Caenorhabditis elegans: one gene and its partners. The protein of the gene in region 1 purifies or fractionates together with the protein of each later gene. This does not show direct contact. Each region holds a gene or a part of one and is shown in the gene's direction. Other genes may lie near its edges.

Region 1 (10,130 bases):
AAATATAAACATAAATAATATATTTTGTCAGTTCAAGAATGAATATTTCGAAAAGAAATTACACCTGTAGTCAAACGAAATTTTTTTACACACTTGAAACTTTTGAGAATAAATTTTGAAATGCATAAACTAAACGTTTTCTGTCAAAATAAAAAAAACCAGGTGTTTCTAGCATTAATTTAAAAATTTCTAGGTTACTCTAGCGCTAAAAGTACGCAAAAACCAAGTGACTGCGTACCAAACACCATAGGTTACTGAGAGCTTTCAAGCTGAAATTATTCGACAAGACTAATTGAATAACAGCGAATACAAACTTCTTACCTAAAATTTTCAGTTCATTCAGTATTACTTTCAGATGTCAAACACATTCTTCAGTATTAATCGATCGGAATCTTCAAATCTCAACCCACCAACAGACCTAATTATTTTCAAATGTGCATTTTTCTCATTTGTTCTGTTTGTGCCAAATTTCGCAAAAACAATGGTTTTATATTTCTCCACTAATCCTCAACTGGTGGATATTGGAACGGAACTTTGGTAGGATTTGAGAAAAATTGCTGAAATTCAAGTTTGGAACTGGAACTTTCCAAATTTGCATTCAATCCAAGAATCTCTGTCAAATTTCAGTGGAATTCCAAAAAACGAGAAGTCCCTAGCTTGCATTTGAAAATTTTGGGGCTACTGTAGCGTCAAGAGTACGCACGATTGCGTACCAAACACCGAAATTCACGAAACTGATTTTAAATGAAAAATTTTCAAAAAAACAACAATAATGAAGTTTATCCCGAAGTTTTGAAGAAAATGACTGAAAAATTACTACCAAATTCTAAATTTCACAACTCTTGTCAATTTGAAAGCATATTCTGAGAATCTTAAAACTTCCGGATCACTGTAGCGCCAAAAGTACGCAAACGCAGAATGATTGCGTACCAAACACCGTTTTTTGTGAAACTTGGAGCTTTCGAGCTTAAAATTGATGGATACGCAAATTGAAACATGGTGAATTTGAATTTCACATCAAAAAGTTACGAACATTTCATTTTCCCAGGTTCTTCACTACGGAAATAATGTGCATCAGTTCTCCGTGGAGCTTACTAGTGAGTAGCTCAAAATTGCGAAAGGAATTTATACCGAAAAGGTTGGTTTTTAAGAAAAAAAACTAAAAATAATTTTGAAATTTCAAAGTTTCAGATGCAGAAAACGACAGGAAAATATTTCTTCAATGTTGTCTACTAGATTTTAATATTTTTACTCGACTGCAATGTTTTTTTTGTGTTTTAATTTGTGAATAGTCTTGTAAAAAAAATTGTAAATTTTTAGAAAACAATTGTATATCAATTTGAAGTAGACAGTATGAAACCCGTTTTTTAACTAGAAACACTTTCAGAATTGACATGCTCCATCTTTTTTTCTGTAAGTTATAGGTCTGTTATCATCAATGTTGCGAAACTGTTTGCATAGATACCAAAGACTGTATTAATGTTGCCATTTTCTTTCTACTCTGATAATGCGAGCATGATTTTTGACGAAGGGTTGTTTGATATTATTTGCTCATTGACTCTCTTCATTAGGGAAATGATTAATAGTTTTTCAATGTTGTCGAATCAAAAATATACCTATTTTTTGGAAGTCGTCGATCAAAAAACATTTTTCTACCTGTTTTATGTTTTAATTATATTCATATTTCAAAATTGTAGGGGTTCGAAAAGACGCCTGTGCTTTACATTTTTAAAGTTTCAGTATTTCTTTCCCCAATAGCCGTACTCTGCCGTATAAGTTATGTTATGTAACCCAGCGGTGGGTGACAAACTGGCAAATTGCCGATTAGCCGAATTTGCCGAAAAAAAAGGCAAATTGTTGTTTTGCACATTCTTTTTTGAAGCTTTAGAATTTCAATTTTAGTCTGCGAAACTGTACGCATAATATGAATTTTTCTATATCTATTTAGAAAAATGAGGCAATTTTTTGAAAATATTTTGAAAAAACGAGGAAAAAACTTCAAAAAAGAACAGTTTAAAGAGATTCCATAAATTTTCGACTAACGGCAATTTGCCACAAGTAAAGATTTCCGGCAAATTGGCAAACGGGCAATTTGCCATTGTCGGCAAATAAATTTACCGAATGCCGCCCACCCCTGATGTCTACTATACTGTAATTTTTTTTGTAGGAATTCAGAATTTGAATTATTTTTGAAACTTTTTGATGGTTTTCAAAAAAAGAGGGAAATTCAAATTTCAATTTGACTTGTGAGTTGTATCCATATCCATAACAAACAACATTTTATTTACAAGAACATGATTTTCGATTACAATTATTCTCTTATCGCTTGAACGCCCATACTTGTTCTTTACATGCTTACATGTTTTAATTACATTTTTTGCCAATTTAAAATTGAACAATTCGCTTAAAGTAACAGTTAAAATTATTTGAAAAAAAAAACATATTTACCAACCCCAACTTGTTTTCCTTAATCTTTTCCTATTTGTATTAATCATGCACCCGAATGAGTCAATTGGAATTCAGTCATTTCTTTAAGCGGATTTCAGATGCCACCTACTGGTATATTCTTCAATGTGAATGGAAAAGATATTAAAGAAGAAAATGTGGATCCCGAACTAACATTGGCGTATTATTTGAGAAACAAGTGTAAGGTCACAATTATTTAAATGATGACGTTATCTGCCTAACGTTGTAATATTCCAGTGGGTCTTCGAGGAACAAAGCTAGGTTGTGAAGAAGGTGTCTGTGGATCTTGTACTGTTGTTCTTGGTACATGGGATGATTCTCTTAACAAGGCAGTCTACAGTGCAGTCAATGCATGTTTGGTCCCATTGTTTCATGTTCACAAGACTTTTGTGATTACTGTGGAAGGAGTTGGAAGTCGGGATAAGATTCACCCGATTCAGGATAGAATGGCTAGAGGACATGCGGTGCAATGTAGGTTTTGTGAGAAATCGTGTCTTCCCACATAGTCAGCCTCTAGGGTTTACCCAGAACGGATCTCGCTATTCCTTAGATCCTTGAGGCGGCAGTTCAACCTTTAGCAATTAAACATGCTTCAACCAGTACTTTCGGCTTCAGGCGGCTTCTGCTCACCCGGATTTGTAATGTCAGCATATGCGCTCCTCCGTAATCATCCGAACCCTACGATTGAACAAATAAATGCAGCGATCCGAGCTAATCTATGCAGATGCACCGGATACCGACCGATTCTTGAAGCTCTTTACAGTTTCTCGTCAAGTGGTGGAGGATGCTGTGGGGGTAAAAAAGCTGGAGCAGGATGTTGTAAAGATTTAAGCAGTGAAGACGAAGCGTATGAAAAACTCACTTCGTTCAATGATTTCCCAGAATATGATCCCTCGCAGGAAATCATTTTTCCGCCTTCGCTCAGAGTATGTTGAAGGTTTAGAAAAATACTAATAGTAAGAACTTTTTTTACAGATCTTTGTGGACTCTGAAAACCCAGTTACACTTAAAGGTGACAGGATTGAGCTTCTACTACCAAAAAGTATTGAGCAATTCAAAGAGTTCAAAAAAGATCGAACCGTCATTTCTTCCGGGCTTATAACTAGATTTAGTGAATTTTGCTACACAGTTGCCTAGAAATTAAATGCATTTTTCAGTAGCAACCCGTAACCCAAAAGAGTTTTCTCAAAAGTGGATTACAACCAAATATGTGAAAGAGTTTAATGAGGTCATTGAAAATCCAGAAACCGTGGTGATTGGTGCTGCGGTAAATATTCAGAGTAAGTAACTTAATTCTTCCTGGGAGCAAATCATAAATTCAGAAATGTCTGACATCCTCTCCAGATCATTAAGCCAAAATATCGGGAAAGAAGTCGATGCATTTATAAAAAAATTCTCCTCTCCACAGATTGCAAATTTTGCTGTGAGTTTTTTCAGAGAACGGAGTATTGTATTAACGTCGGTGTTACACCTATTTTTAGAGCACATTTGCAGCACAAAAACTAGATGACCCCCTTCATGATACTCAGTCTAAAAACCTATATTTTCTGCTGTCTCAAAAACTCTCTAAGATTGCGTTGTGCGCTGCATATAAAAAATGACCGCAATAAAATCCGTTGTTTTTTGAACAGAGACAATTTAAAGTTTATACATTCCCAACCTGACTGTGCCACCGTTTGTTCGGTTAAGCGCGTTTGCAGTTTCAAACTGCTGATGTTCCACCGTGAAAATTTCCATTAATCGCTCGTTTAAGCTATTGTGACCTTATGTCTCCTTTGTCTCGTAACATTAGCATTCAGTTTGCATTAATTGTTCACCAAGCTATCACAGTTCGTTTCAGACCTGGACTGGAGGTATCGTTTCTGGAGCCAAATCTTCAATATCTGTTAGCGACTTGCTGCTCCTGTTCAATGTGCTCAACGCTAAGCTAACTTTGCTCACCGATTCAGGAGATCTCACTCAAGTGAACATAGAAGAGTTCGTAGAGAAAAAGTTGTTCGCTACTAACACAATAGTCAATACCGTCTTCTCAAGTTCTATTGTAAATTATTTTATTTTGACTCGAGAATCAAATTATTTTTTTTTTTAAACTTTAGACTGGTCAACTTTTCTGCCTGAAACTCGGCGAAACCAGCGAACAAGATTCCACAAGCTTCAACTTTGCTGCTCTTGTTGGAAACAACATCAGCAGGATTTTCGTTGGGCTTGGCGGTCCACCAAAGCGGCTGACTTCCTTGGAAGAACATATTTTTGCCCTGAAAAATTTGGATGTGCCTGACCTTTGTAAAACGAGTGGGATGGGTGAGAACAAAAATATAAAAATTGCTCTCACGAGGCTCTCCAAATTTATGAAAAACGTGGAAAAGACAGCCGAAACAGTTGATGGATTAAATTACCTTCAATACTTCAAGGTAGAAATGAAACTATCTGAAATAAAACTTTAAATTTGTTGATTTCAGCCAACTGAACGCAAATCCGTTGGAAGGCCGCTTGCCAACTATTTTAACGAGCGTGCAATTACAGGGGAAGCTCTTTATGTGAACGACATTCAAACATATAGTACGACTGTATTAAAAGCAATCCAAAACAATTATTGATTTCAGATCCTGTTCATCTCGGTTTTGTACTTTCTACAGTCCCGCATGCTGAAATACTTAGTATAGATGCTACTGAAGCATTGAAGCTTGAAGGTGTTGTCGGTTTCTTTGGGGCTTCTGATGTACCTGGAAATAACTCGCCTGGTCTTCAAATTTCAAATATGAACCTTCCAGACGACGCTACTATATTTGCCGATAAGAAAGTGAGCGTGGGTTCAATAAGTTCAATTATTTGTGTTTTTGACAGGTAGAATCGGTTGGTCAAGTGGTCGGAGTGATCGCTGCGAACGATGTTCTTCTGGCGAGACGTGCTGCAAAATTGGTTAAGTTGGAGTATAAGGAACTACCAGCATTAGTTGAATTGAAAGATGCTATCGTAGCAAAATCACTGCTCGGAAAAGTTCGGCATTTTGGGAAAAGTGAATATTTGGTCAATGAAAGTTTGGTACATTCTTACAAAGTTTTGGAAGGAGAATCAAGCCTTGGTAGTCAAGAACACTTTTACTTGGAGACTCAGAGCAGTTTGGTGATTCCAGGGGAGGGTGATGAGTCGTAAGATGTCATTAAATTTGAGAAAAAAATTTATCTTAGAATTACAGGATTGTGCACTGCTCAACCCAAGGAACAAGTTTCACTCAGCTAATGGTTGCCGAAACAATGAAAATCCCAGCACACAAGATCATCGTAAAAGTTAGTAAGAAGATTATTTGACATATTAGATGTATCACTTGTGTTTTAGACAAAACGAATGGGTGGTGCATTTGGTGGGAAGTTGAATAATGCTTCCTGGATTGCATGTATATGTTCAGTTGTTGCAAAGAAGCTCAATCGTCCAACTTACGGGTATCTTTCGAGGGAAGAGGATTTGGCAATTACTGGGAAGCGGCATGGGGTTTATACAAAATATAGGTTGGTCAGAAACAAACGGGGCTTTCTAGCACCCATATTAATCAAGATTGGGCAAGCAAGTTTCATATAATATTATTATGTTTAAAAAACCAAGAGCATCTGCAAAGAATTAGCTTTTCTGGCCATAAATAGTCCCACAACCCACCGTAAGTGAGCCCACTTTTTTTATTTGCTTAGGTATCCCTTGACAAATTCACGAACATCTTTCGGTTTTCCCAGCTGACCTCTGCATCAAATTATTTTTTACAGAGTAGGAATAAATTCCGATGGAAAAGTACAAGGAATTCACCATCAGGCTTGGCTGAACGGCGGATGGTCTAAAGATCATACAGAAGGAGTCACAATGGTTATGGGTCAATTTGTGGATGATGTGTATAATATGGGAACCGTTCGATATGATGGATACCCGGTTAAAACCAATACGAACAGTAATACTGCTTTTCGAGGATACGGGAATCCACAAGCGAAGCTCGTTAGTGAAGGCGTGATGAGAAGAATTGCGCGGGAAGTTGGGAAGAGCACGGAGGAAGTTAAGAAACTGAATTTCGCATTCGAGGGAGAAAAACGGTACCTCAGTGGGAACATTTACAGTGATGCACATATCGAGTGTTGGGAATATTGTACCAGATGGAGTGATTTTGAAAAGAGAAAGGAAACTATTGAAAATTTCAACAAAACATCAAAAATTGTAAAGAGAGGAATTGCGATGTCATCAGTCCGTCTGGCACTTTCCCATCCTGGTCCACCAGGGCATGGTGTAGCGAGTCTTATGATCAATCTAGATGGATCTATTCAGCTATCAATTGGTGGAACTGAGATGGGTCAGGGACTCAATCAGAAAATGCTACAAGTCTGCAGTGAGGCGTTGAAGGTTCATAAGCACACATCAAACTTCACTTATTAAAATATTCCAGAGACCAATAGATACCATCACCATTGTTGACTGCAGCACTGACAAAATAACGAATGCTCCGGAAACAGGGGCAAGCCATAATGCAGATACAAATGGGTTGGCAGTTTTGGCATGTTGTGAGAGGATAATGTCTAGACTGCAACCGATCATTGATAAGAACGATGGTGATTGGGAAAAATCAATTCGAGATGCATATGGAGCCTATGTTCCATTGCAGTGCACAGAATATGGATCGTAAGTCGTTCCTATCTGATCCTGTAGAATTTGAAATATGTATTTCAGGGTTGACCGGGAAAAACTCAGCATTGGTGAGTTTGAGTACCCTTATAATACAACAGGAGCCTGTGCAGTAGAAATGGAAGTCGACACAATGACTGGATACAACCGTCTGCTCCGTGTGGACATTGTCATGGATGTCGGAGAGAGCTTGAATCCTGCCATCGACATTGGACAGATCGAAGGAGCATTCATGCAGGGATACGGGCTCGTCACTTGTGAAAAAATAACTTTCAATAAAGAAACTGGACAACTGAATCAAAACTCGGCGGGACAATACAAAATACCGAAGTCTAGTGATGTTCCGAAAGACTTTAGAGTGAAGCTCCTGGGTATTAACAAGGCAAATGGAGCAAAAGTATACTCATCAAAAGGAATTGGTGAACCACCACTGATGATGTCATGTGGAGCTGTTCATTCGTGTATTATGAATTGTATTGATGATTGGAGAAAGGAGAATGGAATCGATAAATTTGTGGATACAATCTCACCACTCAGCGCTGACAAGATTCAAGAGCTCTGCTCGTGTAATAACTAATGATGTATGTTATTCTTCGTTTTCTCATGTTCAAAATAGTTAACATTTATTAAATAATCAGTAATAACACACATAAACTATCTGACGTCCGGAAATCATTGACATCACAATCATTTGAAGAGTAAAATAACAAAAAAAAACAGTTCGGGTGGGACTCTTGATCAAGCAGTTCCAGCAAATATTATATATCTAGAAGGACCCCCATTGCCAAAGCTGTTGACACCCGAGACCGAATGGGAGAGTCAACCCATCGGGTGAAAACGACGTATTCCAATACGCGCGGAGGACACGGAGCAACTGTCAAGCGGCGAGTGAAGATGAGCGGTGCGATGAGGAATAACAGTACACAGTTTAGACGAATCCCAATTTATTGGTGGAATAAAAAGGAATGAGACACACAAGATAGAATTAGGTAAAGATCCAGGGTCAATCCATCGTCGGTTGGCTAGCCGACGATGCGTCTTGGCGACATCGTAGAGAGTGAATGAACGAAGTGGCCTAAAAGGGCGAGGCAATTATTGTGTGGATTTACGGGCAACGATTAAGAAAAATTTTGGTGGGAAATTCAAATTTTCTGAAAAAAAAACATTTTTGGCGGGAAATTCAATTTTTTGAATGATTTTTTGCGGGAATTCAAATTATTCGAAATAAAATTGTATTTACAATTTTCTGAGATAATAGCATTTTGGCGGGAAATTCAAATTTTGCGAGAAAAAATTCTGGCGGGAAATTCAAATTTACTTTTAAAAAAAGACATTTTTTGCAGGGAAATTCAACTTTTCGGAGGAGGTTACTGTAACTGACAAACACAAAATTATTGCGTGCCTTATTTTAGGGCATTTGAAGATTTTTGAGCAAAAACTGACAAGTACCAAATAATAGTTGGAGAATTCCAATTTCAAATTAAAATATTAAGAAACGCCTGGAAATACGCAAATAATTCCTCTCCAGGTGGCCCAATCTTCTCAATTTTTTTATACTCTTCCCAATCTCTAATAACTGGTCAACATCACCAGTACGTACTCTAGCCATAACTGTCTAACTGTCCGCCACCCTCTCGCCCCTCTGCGCTATCTCGCTCGCCACAATTGATTGCTAGAGTGTAGCCTCAGTTTTTAGTCTTTTATTGTTTAAAATTGGCTGTAAATTGCTATTAATTTTATTATATTGATTTTGATTATCGAATTTTTGGAGAAAATTCAAAAAATTAAAATTTGGGAGTACTATTTTGAATTTTAATTAAAAATTTCAACTATGAAATGTGCAATTTGCGACTCGGTAGCTCTTTCGCTACACTTTGGAGCTCCAAGTTGTAAGGTGAGTGTTGAGATTTTCACTGAAAATTTTTTTAAATTTTGAACAAAAGAAAAAATTTGTTTTCGAAATATTTCAAGATAAATTTTTTATTCAAATTCTAATTTTTTGTTTCAATTTTTAAATACTGGCATAAATTGTTTTTTCGTATTTTTTTTAGTAAGAAACACATTTTCAGGCCTGCGCCGCATTTTTCCGCCGTACAGTTGCTCTGGACATCACCTATGACTGCATCACTGGAACTTTGGATTGTGAAGTTAATTTTGGTAATAATTACTTTGAAAATATTTAGAATTGACCGAATTTATACAGAATTATCAATAAAGTTTCACAAGAAAACAGCGGAAAAAACTCGAAAAAACAGCGAAATTTGATAGGTGGCCTAACTCATTGAATTTCTAGGCTATCACAGGATAGTGGTGACCTAGAAATGAAAAACTAAATAATTTGTCTCAAGATTCTTTCACCCCTGGGATCACATAAATTTTCAAAAACAATTATTTCTGCAAATTAAAAAAAAAATAAAATTTCAGAACGACGAATGGCCTGCAAACGATGTCGATATCAGAAATGTATTGATAATAATATGCAGAGATATTGTGAGTAAAACATAATTTACAAATTAAATTTTTTAAAAAATTAAATTTGTTAAAAAATCCGAAAAAAAATTTTTTGGGACAATTTTCTGAATTTCGAGATTTTAAAAACGTTGTGAGTTTTTTATTATATTTAAGCTCAATTAATGAACACTAAAACTTTCTAGCACAAATTTGAAGTTATCTGGATTACTGTAGCCCCATAAGTACGCAAACACCGAGTGTCCACGTACGAGACACCTTATTTTACGACATTAGGAGTTTTTTGACTGAAAATTCAGGAATCGGCTAAGAAAATAGTGAGGAATTCAAACTTTGCATTAAAAATAATAAAATATGAAATTTTTTTTAAATTTATGCACAAAAAAATGTCAAAAGTATACAAACTTCAGTGGTTCAATCGAAAAAAGGACGACCAGACGCATCGACAGCAAATGGAATCGAAGTAAGTCTGAATACGTGTTTTTCTCTGCTGTTTGTGGAACCAGTAGCTAGACTGGGGGCTAGAGTTGGCATCAACT
Region 2 (6,144 bases), on another chromosome or scaffold:
TTATTCTTTGAAGTTGATTGTAGAAAACTAAAACGAATCGGTTATCAGAAATGTTTTCAAGAGATTCTGTTTCGTTTCTCAAATGGCAAGGGCATTTGTTTGGAGAAACCCATTGATTGCGGTAGAGCGCACTTACATACATTAGATCCCAAATCTATTTGCGCAGTGGTAAAGGGGGGGAGGACAAATGAGAAAAAAAGGCGACACAAGAGACCACCGCTCGAAGACTAACTGTGAAGGACAGTCGATATTGACGGACCATCGAAACAACATCAAAACAACATAATAACAACACAAAACTGTACGCCGTAGAGCAAGATCAAATCGGTTCTCAACGGAGCGTTTTTGTGCGTGCAGTGTCGCAAATTGAAAACAAACGTTGTAGACCACTTGTCACTTTTCTCTTACCTTCTCCGACTTCATTGAAACATGTCCTGCGAATCAAGGTTCTTCAAAAGAAAAAGTAGAGAGAATAACAAAAGTGATGTCTTTGGTTTTTCAAATTGAAAAGGAAAAAGTAAACGATAACACGATATAAGTAGAAACCTGATAGAAAATGTTTAAATGCATCGAAAGGATTTTTTAAAAATTCTCAAAACATTAGGCTCATTTTTGATAAAAAATGTGGCATTCTACATGCAAAATATGGTACATTTTCAAAACTTTAAAAATTCCCAAATCACTCCAAAGTAACATTTTCTAGAATTTCTCTCAGAAACTTTGTTGAAAATTTTTTTGCTCTTTGCACTAAAATAGTGTATGGAAACAAAAAATATCTGAGAGAAGACAAACTTTGGAAATAGTTTTGTAATCTTTATTGTTACAACATTAACTTATAAAATTTTTCCTCACTTTTGTTCACAATATAGATTTGTTCCATTATTTGAACTATGTTTATGTTTTGAAAAAAATCGGAGATTATAATAAAACCAACCAGAAAATTTTAGATTTTTTTAATGTTTTAGCAATCTGCCAAATAACAAAAAAGAGCTTTTGAGGAAACACAGAGCAATATTGCATGTTCTAACCCCTAAAATGTTTTACAACAAATAATTAAATCAAATTTAAAGTATAAAAATCGTAGAACTTTTTTTTTGGTCGACTTCCAAAGTTATGAGTGCAAAAACTGAGCGATTGCACGTGGTGTCAGGTTGTCCCATAACAGTTTGATCTACAAAAAATGCGGGAATTTTTTCCCCGAAAAATGTGACGTCAGCTCATTCTTAACCATGCGAGACCAGTTGAGAAGTCTGCGTCTAAATTCCCGCAGTTTTGGTAGATCACAACGAAATGGGACATTCTGACACCACGTGCGATTGTCACTTTTCGACAGTAAATGAAAACTTTAAAAAAATTTTGAAAACTTTTACTATGATATTCAAATATTTTGACACTATAGCGAAAAACCAACATAAGCCAAAGTTTTGTCTTTAGAACAAAACATTGAATTTAATTTCAGAGGAATTAGAAATTGGGATTCTCGTTCCAGATCCTTACTGCCTGGTTTCCAATTATGGTAATTGCGTATTTAGTCTAAATTGATTGAGCTTTAAAAAAACACTGTTTGACATAAATTTGTGTCTCAAAATCTATAAAACCTGCAATCTGTATATTCTTGAAAATGAATTTTTTTTTTCGAAAATTCAGAAGTCCGCAGCTTTGAAAATATCAGAGGATATCCATTTTGGTCACTGCCGAAATAAAGATTAGCTATGATTTAACAATGTGCTCGAATGTTTTATTTTCAGTACAATAACATAATTTATGCTGTATAACTGATGTTTTTTGGTAGCCTACAAGACATCAAACTGTTTAATTTTCAGATTTACCACTTTTAAAGTAGGTACTTCTACTTTTGATCAAAACTTCTTTGTATTTACAGTACACAGACAAAAGCAAATACCAAATTCCCCGTAAATGTTCGCAGCAAATACTACTGCTATTGACCAAATACGTCAAGTTCCATTTTGATTCACTTTCACCCTTCTTTGCAGTATTATGAATAAAGTTTTTTTTTGGACAATCGTGTTGTTGTTCACTGTGAGAATTACATAACAATATTTTCCGACAGTGTTCATTCTTTCCATGGAAATTTCATGAAGAATATTTGATTTCGCAATATTGTTTATTCTCCCAATTTTCCCACAATGAGTCACTGGCCACCTGGCAAACAACACGTATAAAACTGGACTTCCCCAATAGAAATACACCGCTCTCTAAGCCATTTTTGCCTCTCACCTTGCGCATTTATCGATTTTTGGATGTGTTTTCTTTTGAGTTGTTGAGAATATATTATTGAAACCTCACATAAAATATTATATGTCCAATTATGTTCTATAAATTTTTCATTTTATTCGGCAAAGAGTCGTTTCGTAATGTTTTGCGAATATGTTTTGCAACCAGTTTTCTAGAAATCTTCTAAGGACTTCTATGTCTAAATGTCTTTTTGAACCGTCAATTCTATAGAAGAACGAATTGAGTTCAACCTTTGGCCGTTTGCCCAGAACATCTTCCTTTTTCTCTTTTTACTTCCTGGTTTCCGACTTCACCTGCCGCGTTTATAAACTTTCTTCCGTTTTTGTTATATTCAGATGTTTGTACTAATTCTTTTTGATTTAAAATGTATGTTTTCAGTTGATCATGTCTGAGAAAATTGCTGAAGGTTTTGGAAACAACGGAGAGCTATGCGAATATCACTATTCGTTCGTTCAAGACGGAAAGTTGACTTTGGTGGGGCGCAAATGTGAGCATTTATATACATTTTTTTTCAAATTTAGAACAATTTTCTTGTTTAGACGTCGCTCAACCAAATCACAACTGGGGACATCGCGTGGCTTTTGCAGGAACTTACGTTCTGACTTTTGATAAGGAATCCAACAAATGGGAGAGACATGATGTGAGTTTGCCTTGTTTTCCTGGTCATTTCAGACCTAAACAATTTCAGTTCCCGGAGCTCGTAAGCGAAGAAAACTCGGAAGAAGTGTTGTTTGTTCGTGACAATCAGCTTTATCTTCTCGCTTTTGTCAATTTTGGAGCAATTGGATTCCAAAAGTTGTTCAGATGGGATAGTAATTCTTTCAATGAGGTTTTGTTAAATGTGAGTGATTCTGTGATTAGAATTTTGTTTCAAAATTAATTTAAAGTATTACTTCTGTAAGTTTTTTTTTTAGTTTAAAATTCGATATGGTACATATAAACCTAAAGTGTACGTATAGACCCATAGACTGTCAGCATATGAACAAGCTTTGGAAATTGACTTTTTTTCGAACCATCATCCTTTATTAGATATACACCACAATGTTTTTTCAGGCCCCAGAAACCAAAACCCTCACTGAGACTCAAAGATTTGAAGTTATCGCTGCTGCTGGAACTTCTTCAAATGGTGAAACTATTCTTCTTCTCAAAGACGACAATTGTCACATTCAAATCTATTCTCTCACTGTCAATGGAGCTTCTTCTACTGTCGAAAACATCTCGCAAATTCACTCTGATGACAACCATTTGGTAACGAAGATTGTTCAAGAATTTTATAATATTAAAAATTGTTTTCAGAGAGGATCTCCAGTAATTGCTGAGACTGTCAATGACAAAGTGCTCATTAGCTACGCTGTTCATGGATGTGGATTCAATTGGGAGAAAACTCGTTTCTTCGTTTTTGACTTGAAATCAAAAACAGCTCGTCATGTTGATATTGAAGGAGAGTACAGTTCTCTTCCCCAATACGGTTTCGTTGGTCCAAACTGCTCATTTGTTGACAAGAAGACCAATTCTTTCATTGTCGCTGGTGGCCGTGTTCAAAAAGGAATGACGGGAAGCGCTTTCTACGGAGCCGTTTGGGCTCTCAAAGGAAACATTTTTGACGATAAGTCTACTTTGGAGTGGGTCCAACTTCCTCAAACTGTCGAAGAGGGAGAGCATATTTTTGACGGTTCAACTCTTTACACTGTTAACAAAGCTGCAGTATCAAAAGTTCAACTTGATTCGATCTAAATTGTTTAATGTTTTAATGTATTTAAAATTATATTTTAACCTACTGTGATTTATGGGAATCTCTGAAATAATTTCTGCCAGTAATAAAATTGAAATAATTGGATTGGGAGTAAGTTTTATGTTTGACAATTGAATAAATATTCAGTACAGTTATTCTAATATTTATTTGGAATTGTAGTTTTGTCGGCTTTTACCTAAAATATCGATATTTAATACTGTATCATGCGCAGTAAACTTTATTCCATTTATTAGTTTGAGAAAGAATTCAAACTTGAATTGCCCCAAATATTCAAATATCCGAAGCTCTAAACTCCACGAGTTTATAGAATTACAAACATTTGGACAATTGGCGTTTTCGGCAGTCAGCAACTTTGATAATTGCTAAAATTACCACAGCAGTTAGGCAGTAGTTCAAAATATGCCCTCAAAAAAAAATTATAAATTCATAATTGGAACTCGAAATTTCTGAAATAAAACTTTTTCTGTTCTATTTGCAAAATTGTGTATCAACGGAATATATGTTCAACTAGTTTTTTCACATTGGTCTGAAAATCAAAATTTGTAAAAATGCAGTAATAATATGTATACATTATTTATTTAAACAAAATACAAAATCTGCGGCAATTTGTAAAACTCTTCGCAGGACTACGAATCTCTTCTGTGGCCCTCCCCAGTTAAAGAATGCCTGATCGGAGATGGGGAAACACTTCGTTCCGGTGAACAGTTTGATAAGTTCAAAACTGACTTCCTTCTCGGACCGTGCCTTAATTGGTTTTGTCATTGAAGTCCATCAATCTGATCAACTTACTTCCTATCTGATAACCGTTCCAATCTATCCCATTCCTCTTGATAAGTTTCATACAGTTTACGCGGGTCTCGACCATACATTTCTTTCTTTTCGCGGAATCGTTTCGGAACTGAAATTTGTTGATTTGATAATAAAACAATCATCGAATAATCAATAACCTTTTTCTTCCCTCTCATAATCTTCAACACAAAGACTGTGTTGTATAGTCATGTCTTCAAATGTTGCTGGTGGTTCAATAATGATAACACTTTCACATTTATGATCCTCAACTAGCTCAGTATTAATTTCAATTTGAAAAGTATCGAGATCATTAAACAACTTCTCCTGCGCCGATTGGTTCATAAACTCATTGGACAATGCCTGAAATATCGGCTTTTTGATATCCAATTCATATGCCGGCAATGGTAATGGGCTTCGAGGAGCAGGAGCATCCCTGAAAAAAAGAGAACACTCAAAATGAGAGATTCAGAAATATAAATTGGCTTTGCAGTACATTTTGAATATAAATGGGTGGTCTTCTCGTGGAGATGGTGGGCTCATTGGAGGATTCGATGGTCTTGTGGAACACGGTGAATGAATGATTGAACGAGGAGATGGCTCACGTGGTGGCTCATCGTTCAAATCCTCGGGCGGCTCCCGTCCTTCCTGAAAAATTACTTTTAAAATTTGTATGAGCAAAAAAAATTTGAAAAAAAAACCTGCATAGCAATTGTCCGCTCTACAACATTTTCCAAATCCAATGCATCAATCATTCCTGGTTCTACGCCACATTTCTTACCCACTGCATGAAGGAGGTCTCTGACTTTTAAACTGAAAATTTTAACATAATTCAACTAATGTGGTCTTTCAAAAATAAAAATAAAATTACGTTTTTCCACCAAACCAAATTCTTGTCTGCGCGGCATTCTTCATTTTCTTGCCCCAGTAGTGAAGTTTTTTCATATATTCAGAACCAATATCTGAAACAAAAAACGATGATAATTTTCACAAGTGTTTAAAAACTAACTGATAGCAATTGTTGTAATCGCCAATCCAATGCACACATACAGAAATGTTATTGGTAGCAGCTCAACCCGAATCGGAACCAGTTGCCCAAAATCTATCGCAGTTAAACACAAAAAATTAAAATAAAGTCCGTTGAAAAAGTCGAGTTCTCCATTTAACAATGGCAATAGTAATGCACCAACTGCCACGTATATTAAGAAGACACATAGAAGAGCTAACGATGTGACTTGGATTGAAGATTCTTTGTAAATTTTGCCGGCCAATGAAGCTTTTGACATTCGTCTCTGCTGCCTGTAGGCTTCTATCTAGAAATAGAACTTGGAATTTAAAAAAAAATTAAA
Region 3 (7,189 bases), 7.8 Mb from region 1:
TTTAGCAGAATTTGGCTTTTTTCGAAATTTTGAGAAATATTATTTTTAAATTCGCCCTTCTGAGACCATGTTGGGTATAACAAAGCAAAGAATTATTTAATTTGAATAAATAATTTAAATTTTCAGAGAGACTACGCCCTGACTACAATTGTTCCATTTTCCGAATATTCTCTCCGAATTGCAATCGAATTCTTTACTTCAACATCACAGAATCCAGAAGTTGCCAACTCGCTCATTGCTATTGATATCATAAAATTCCTCGGAGAACCACTTTACATGAAGTACACTTGTATCTCTGCAAGTACTTGGAAACTTGCTGCAACTTCTCTGATGTCTGTCTTGAGAACATCCATTCCATATGCTCGTCAGAATCCAGAAGTTTTTCGAGGTTTATGGTCTGCAATTTGTGATACTATGGAAAGATGGCTTTTTACTCCAAAGTAAGTTATTTTAGATTTGATTTTGGAAATTTTCAACAAAAAAAGTCTCATGGGGAAAATTAGTATAGGTGTAATAGAAGGCTTCTTCAGTATTAATTCGAAAGAAACATTTAAATAACTTTTCTTTCAAATGCTTGATTTTCTGAACTATCGAAAAAATTCTGTTTCAAAAATATACATACTAATTTTAGATTAAAGCTTTTTCGATGACTTTCAGATAAATTAAGAACATTTAGATACATTTTCCAAGTCTCATATTTCGAAAAAAAAAATCAAAACATCAAAATTTACAAACTAATTCAAATTTTAAAAAAATTGAGAATGACTACAATTCAAAAAAAAACAAAAAAAAATTGATTTTTCAAAGGTACACATACTGTATTTTTGAGGGAAAAATCGCAAAAGCTCGCAATATTTTTTTTGCTGTTTGAGACTCGAAAAACCAGCATTTTTAGTTTAAAAAAAAATAATTTTAGAAGTATTTCTATATTTTTTCTACAGCTGTATTTCGTTCCAAACCCGGCGTTGTTTGCCTTTAAAATTTATGTTTCACTTGAATAGAATTTTTTTTAAATCGTGAGCTACAGTAATCCTTTAAGACGAATAGTCTCTTGTATTTGCAAAAACTGGTCGTGTCAAGACCAGGTACCGTAGTTTTTGGGCGAAATTGCTAAATGTTGAATATGGATCAATAGTTTCAATCGAAAATATTCTTCAATTTTTTCGGTTTTTCGAATTTTTTTCAGAGAAATTCAAAACATCGATTGTTAGAAATTTGAAAAAAAAACACTTGTGTTGAAAAATGTACGAAAAAAAGAAAACTATATATTTTTATTGAAAATATGTAATTTTCGTTATGGAAATTTTTAAATTTTTCACTCTTTATATAGCTTAAATAGAAATGCAATTAATTTAAAATTCTAATCTTTGATTTTTCGCTGCGGTTCTAGCAAGTCAACGAGACTGGCAGCAGACGAAAGAAAACGTGATGAACTAATGGAATGTCAGGCAATTGAAATAATTCGAAGTGAAATGCTCGCATATGCATCCCGTTTACCACAAGAAGATGTTCAACGGCTGATTGCACTACTTCATCGTGGCTCCATTTCACAAATCGATTCTACAGATGTTCTTGGTAAGTGCTCGAGAGAAATCGTCTTCTTTTTACTTCTAACACTTCTCACAAAACTAGTTGGTGTTGGTATTCCTTTCCACATTTCTCCATTCTGATTGCATGTTTTCGGTGTACTCGGTAACAACCCTCGAATTCAGCTTCAGACTCGCATACTCAACGAAATGAGCTGGCAAAGGCCTGTTTTGATGCTCTATTGATGTCATCTGATGGAGCACATACAAATACTGAAGAAGACGAAGGAAGAGGAATTCTTGGAAATGTTGCTGTGACAAGTCTTTTACAAAGATGCACACAGGTAGGATCAAAAATAGGTCCGATAAAGACACAAACTACTCTGATTTTAGGTTATGTCTGATTTCTGCAAAGATTGGTCTGCTGCTGGAGATCTTCGTTTACCTAGATCCAGAATACTAGAAATCATATCTGCACTTCAAGCTGTTGACTCACTAATTGCACGACTTGCAAGAGATCCAAAAATGACTGAACTCTACTCGCACTTAGTTTCACTATTTCCATCGGTTGTTGATGTGATGCCTTGCTGCCATGCTGATCCTCAACTGGAACATCAACTGATCAAGACAATCAAATCATATCAAACACTCTTCCTTCTTCAAAATATTCCACAAGCCACCGTGGAATAGCCACGTCACCCTCCAGTAGCCATATTTATTTTATTTATTGGTTCCAGTTTCACTCTGTCTTCATTTAGCATATGGGTTATTAAATTATCGACTATCGATCGACACACAGTTGCCTTTATCCTATTTTTATTCATATTCTTTTTTTTTGCTTCAAAATCTTGTATAGTTTCGAGTACTAGTACCCTCAGAATAACGAGTTCATTTTTTTCTGTGATTCAACGCAAAAACACTTCCCGCTTCTTTTTTTTGATGATGATTTACTTCAATCGATATCCCGGACTATTATGTTGTGAGATAGTGTCTTTTTCATTCTTTGTAGTAATAAAACTATCCAATTTTAAATGCAATGACTTTGAAACTATTTTTTTTTTCTGTCAATATTCTGAGATTTCTTATTGCCAGTTATTATGAAATTTGGAAAAAGAACTGAAATTCAGAATGGGCATTGATTACAATCGATGGTGGCATTTAAAGGATGAAACATTGGGCGAGGAATTAAAAGGATATATCAAAATGATTGAAGAAGATTATCTTGTTTATTCTGGAACCACCTCACAACTTCATGTTTCAAAACTCTCAAATGGATCAGTTAATAGTATTGTTAATGAAATTCTGGAGCAACAAGGATCCTGGAGCATTATTTATTATAATCAGAAATTGAAAAAACTTTTCATTGGAAGAGATGTTTTTGGAAGACAATCTTTGGTTTTTAATTTCGAATCGATGATTTTTGGATGTAGAACAAAGCCAGAAACATCTGGGAAATGGATTGAAATTCCATTCGGACAAGTGACTGTTTTTAGTCTTGATTCAACTGATCCAGTTATTTATTCATATCTTGACGAGTATCCAGAGGTTTGTGCAATTTTATATGAAGTACCGCCAGTGGAGAATTTGCCTGAATATTCTTTTTTAAAAAACCGAAAATTTTCCGATGAACTGCTGAAATTCGGAAAATTTTCAGAATTCGTAAAGTGTTGAAATGTCCGAATAGAAACTTTTTAAAAAATTCAAATTTCAAGCAAGAATTGGTGAATTCTCGTTTTCTTCATTATAATTTCGGATGTGTCGGTAAAAAAGTGGTTTTCTACGATTTTTGAATTCTAATCATAGTATGGTTTTTTTTTCAAACATTCTATTATGAAAAACCTGAGAATGCATATTGCGCAACATATTTGACGCGCAAAATATTTTGTTGCGAAAACTACAGTAATTATTTAAATGACTACTGTAGAGCTTGTGTCGATTTACGGGGCTCGATTTTCGAAATGACAAAAATACTTTATTTATCGATTGAATATCAAAATTCAGCAAAAAATTAGAAAATCCTACGAAGAAACGAAGGAAAATTTTTCGAAAATTGAAAATCACTGTCGATATTCGAAAAAAAAATCATATCGAATTTCAAGCCCGTAAATCACCACAAGCTCTACAGTAGTCATTTAAATAATTGATGTAGTTTTCGCTTCGAGATATTTTGCGCGTCAAAATTTTTTCGCAATAAATACACATTCTCAGAATTTTGTGTTCCCGTAATAGGAGTTCAAACCTGCCACAATGCTCGAAATTCTTCAAAACGTCCAAATTTAATACAAATTACCAAAACATTGATATTTATACAAAATCCCCACGGACGATATTCTACCTAATACAAATAAAAATATAATTAATTAGTTGAAAAAACAATTCCATATTTTTAAAAGTTTTACTATATTTGATGCTTAGGCATTTATTACTTATTTCTGACAATAAATGCTATATCATTACAGAATGTATTGGATGGCTACTTTTCTGGGTCGGATATCTCTCGAATTGTGGTCAACAAGAAACATGGATTATTGAATGTTAGTAGATCAACTGGAGGAGAAATTGACTCATTTAATACCAAAGATCTCTTTCAAAAAGTTATCGATGCGACTAAGATTCTATTGAAAAATTGTTTGTTTTTTCTAATGAAATCGCTTTTATAACATCTAACTTTAGATCATGAAAGCCACGTGGCAGTATGCTTGTCTGGAGGTGTCGATTCTACATTTGTTGCTCATGTTGTACATTCAAGTGTTCCAGAGAATATGCAAATTGATCTAATTAATGTGGCATTTGGTAATAGTGAGAAAGTGAGTTTTTATTTTAATTTAATATCGAATAATAAATCTATATTTTATAGGAATGTGAACAAGCACCTGATCGTAAACGTGCCAGAAAGGCGCTGGAATCATTTCGAACTGCATACCCAACTCGCCAATTTCGCCTCATTCTTGTCAACGTTGATAGCCAAACCCTCGAAGTGAATCGCAAAGAATCTATCTCAGATGCAGCTCAACCAGCGAGTTCAGTACTTGATGACTCACTGTCTTGTGTTCTGTGGTTTGCTGTCAGAGCCGAAGGAGTTGATAGTGAGAATCAACAATCAGTGAGGTCACCTGCAACTACATGCCTTCTGGGATCAGGAGCAGATGAACTTCTTGCCGGATACGCAAGGCATCGAACTCGATTTGAGAAGGAACAAATTCCAGAAAATGTAGCGGAAGAATGTGAAAATGAATTGCGAAGGCTGGGATCGAGAAATGGAGGAAGAGATGCTAGAGTTGCTGCTCAACTTGGGAAGACCATTTTGTAAGTTTTCAAAATCTCCTAATAAAAAAAATAATATGATTTTTGTTATATTTCAGATCTCCACTTCTCGAAGATACCGTAGTCACTTGGCTCAACGCACTTCCAGTCGATTCCAAATGGGATCTATCATTGCCACGTGGAGTTGGAGAGAAACAATTGCTCCGAGAGACAGTGAAAATGTTGGGATCCCCATATGATGCTCCGAAACAGGCAATGCAATTTGGATCGAGAATGGCAAAAATGAGCAACGCTGGTGATAATTCTATCAAAGGAAGTGATAAATCTCCGCATTTATTGAAAACTGATGTGAATTGATGTTTGAATGATTACTTGTTGAAAAATAAATTGATAATTTGGGTACTGTTAATAATAACTTTCTTCCACATGATAAAGAGGATGTAATTTCAGCAGAAATGTAGATTTTTCCTTTTTTAAGTGATCGAAAAAGGCGAAAACGGTGTTTAAGTTTTTCAAGGTAACTTTGCAAATAATTAGTTTTTTCGCTTCCAAAACTCGTAGACTCTTGGATTAAATTTAATCAAACAGAACACTACATTATTTCATACCTTGTATTTGAATGCGCCTCATTTCAAGTCGTTTCAGAATATATTCAAGAAAATTTCCCCTTCAAGTATAAATTTGTAGGTTTCTGTATTGATGTTACGAATTTCTTGTAAATATTGGAAAACATGTTAAATTGAATGCAATCTATGTTTATTACTGAAAAGGAATGATTTAAGCCTTTTGGACGGCACGATGTCTCTTGGCAACGGCACGGTGCTTGGCAGCAACAACACGACGAGCCTTGGATCTTCTGGCGGCAACTGCCTTTCTACGGGAAACCGAACGATGTCTAGCGGCGACGTGACGGTTGCGAGCAACAGCGGCTTGAGCACGAACAACTGAGGAACGGGATGGGCATGGGCAGTAGGCAGCATCACCTCCTGGTTGTCCAGCAGCTCCTGGAGTTCCTGGTGGTCCAGCGTTTCCTGGTTGTCCTGGGTGTCCGTCTGGTCCTGGCTGTCCTGGTTGTCCTGGAGCTCCATCATTTCCTGGTTGACCGTCATTTCCGTTTTGTCCTGGTGGTCCTTGTGGTCCTGGAGATCCAGCGGTTCCTGGGCGTCCAACAGATCGAGTTCCTGGTGCTCCTGGAGCTCCTGGTCGTCCGTCATTTCCTGGTCTTCCTGGTTGTCCATTATCTCCAGCTGGTCCTTGTGGTCCTGGAGCTCCTTGTCCTCCTCCCATAGCATCTTGTCCTGGTTGTCCATCACTTCCGCGTTGTCCATTCTGTCCTGGTTGACCTGGTGGTCCTGGTGGTCCAGCTGGACACACAATGCATCCATTAGCAGAAAGTGGAACACCGAGGTTTCCATCAGCTCCTGGAGTTCCATCCTCTCCAACCAATCCGTGATCTCCGTCCTCTCCTGGAGCTCCTGGTGGTCCTGGTGGTCCAGCTGGGCAGTTGCTGGCAGCAGAGTTGGCTCCGCAGTTACATTGGGCAGCTTGACGCTTGGTACGACCGAACAGGGACTCGTAGACTTGACGTTGCTTGCCTCCTTGTGGGACAACAGTCATCATTTGGTGCCAGACGGTATTAGCATCGTCCTGAAATGTCGGAATTTAAGAAAATCTATTAATTTATGCAGTTACGTCTAAAATGTTTTTTCTTAGAGTTTTCAGTAAAAGTTTTGGCAATTGCCAAATTTTTGAAAAATGAATTTTAGAGCTCTTTGAATGAAAGTATCTTAACTATATAATCAAAATGAAAAATGCTTAGTAGTGTTTTCGTATTTTTAAATTGACAAATGTCAAGTTATATGGGTTATTCAAGTTGTCTCACAAAATTAAAAAGTGTAGAAAAATGACGTCACAACTGTATCAAAATACATAAAAACATGTAATTTCATACAGCTGTGACGTCATAAATGTATTTAAATACGTTTTGCAACATTACTCGAATAACCTCATAAATCTGAAACAGTTTAAATTTCTCAAAAAATGAGTTTTCAAATGGCTTTTTCTAGATTGACGTGCCAATTGTTTTTAGCTCAGAGCCAAATCTTACCTTGAAATTTTCAATGTTTCTGGTCACATCATCATAGTAATTGTTGACATCATTGACGAGATAAACCAATGAAACAATTGATGCAAGAACTGCAAAAGTTGAAGCCGCAGCTGCAATTGAGACGAGATAACGAGCCGTCGACATTGTTGTCTTGTCCTTTTTCCAACAATCTATCCTTCTTTTATACTACATTTTTGTTACAGTAACAGTAAATCGGTTTCAGTTTTTTGCTGGATTTTTGAGGCATTGTGTGTTGTGTAAATTGAAAAGACTGAAGGCTTTGATAGAGACG

Evidence for each region. The genes of interacting proteins can lie anywhere in the genome.
Region 2: the proteins of F15E6.6 (region 1) and F52E4.5 fractionate together in Caenorhabditis elegans (co-fractionation; one large-scale study listed by BioGRID). This does not show direct contact.
Region 3: the proteins of F15E6.6 (region 1) and M18.3 fractionate together in Caenorhabditis elegans (co-fractionation; one large-scale study listed by BioGRID). This does not show direct contact.

The regions. Positions count from the first base shown.
Region 1 is NC_003282.8:4,276,535-4,286,664, reverse strand, and holds F15E6.6 (Xanthine dehydrogenase), read left to right. Parts: upstream 1-2,544; 5' UTR 2,545-2,546; coding exon 2,547-2,646; intron 2,647-2,703; coding exon 2,704-2,937; intron 2,938-3,081; coding exon 3,082-3,392; intron 3,393-3,441; coding exon 3,442-3,577; intron 3,578-3,623; coding exon 3,624-3,746; intron 3,747-3,788; coding exon 3,789-3,889; intron 3,890-4,306; coding exon 4,307-4,507; intron 4,508-4,562; coding exon 4,563-4,877; intron 4,878-4,925; coding exon 4,926-5,025; intron 5,026-5,069; coding exon 5,070-5,266; intron 5,267-5,310; coding exon 5,311-5,615; intron 5,616-5,662; coding exon 5,663-5,753; intron 5,754-5,802; coding exon 5,803-5,972; intron 5,973-6,221; coding exon 6,222-6,843; intron 6,844-6,886; coding exon 6,887-7,119; intron 7,120-7,167; coding exon 7,168-7,699; 3' UTR 7,700-7,840; downstream 7,841-10,130. Other genes in the region: srv-4 (Serpentine Receptor, class T), read left to right, coding at 356-537, 1,049-1,138, 1,192-1,243; nhr-78 (Nuclear Hormone Receptor family), read left to right, coding at 8,954-9,016, 9,192-9,279, 9,547-9,612, 10,002-10,054.
Region 2 is NC_003284.9:3,083,828-3,089,971, reverse strand, and holds F52E4.5 (Fucose-specific lectin), read left to right. Parts: upstream 1-2,626; 5' UTR 2,627-2,640; coding exon 2,641-2,743; intron 2,744-2,795; coding exon 2,796-2,896; intron 2,897-2,944; coding exon 2,945-3,097; intron 3,098-3,309; coding exon 3,310-3,504; intron 3,505-3,552; coding exon 3,553-3,990; 3' UTR 3,991-4,144; downstream 4,145-6,144. Other genes in the region: twk-16 (Potassium channel domain-containing protein), read right to left, coding at 4,636-4,753, 4,799-4,907, 4,957-5,231, 5,292-5,443, 5,497-5,608, 5,667-5,757, 5,805-6,108.
Region 3 is NC_003282.8:12,103,205-12,110,393, forward strand, and holds M18.3 (Asparagine synthetase domain-containing protein), read left to right. Parts: upstream 1-2,653; 5' UTR 2,654-2,654; coding exon 2,655-3,071; intron 3,072-3,985; coding exon 3,986-4,154; intron 4,155-4,199; coding exon 4,200-4,333; intron 4,334-4,383; coding exon 4,384-4,832; intron 4,833-4,888; coding exon 4,889-5,147; 3' UTR 5,148-5,189; downstream 5,190-7,189. Other genes in the region: mon-2 (Monensin-resistant homolog 2), read left to right, coding at 127-440, 1,391-1,575, 1,713-1,870, 1,920-2,216; col-129 (Nematode cuticle collagen N-terminal domain-containing protein), read right to left, coding at 5,568-6,437, 6,898-7,041.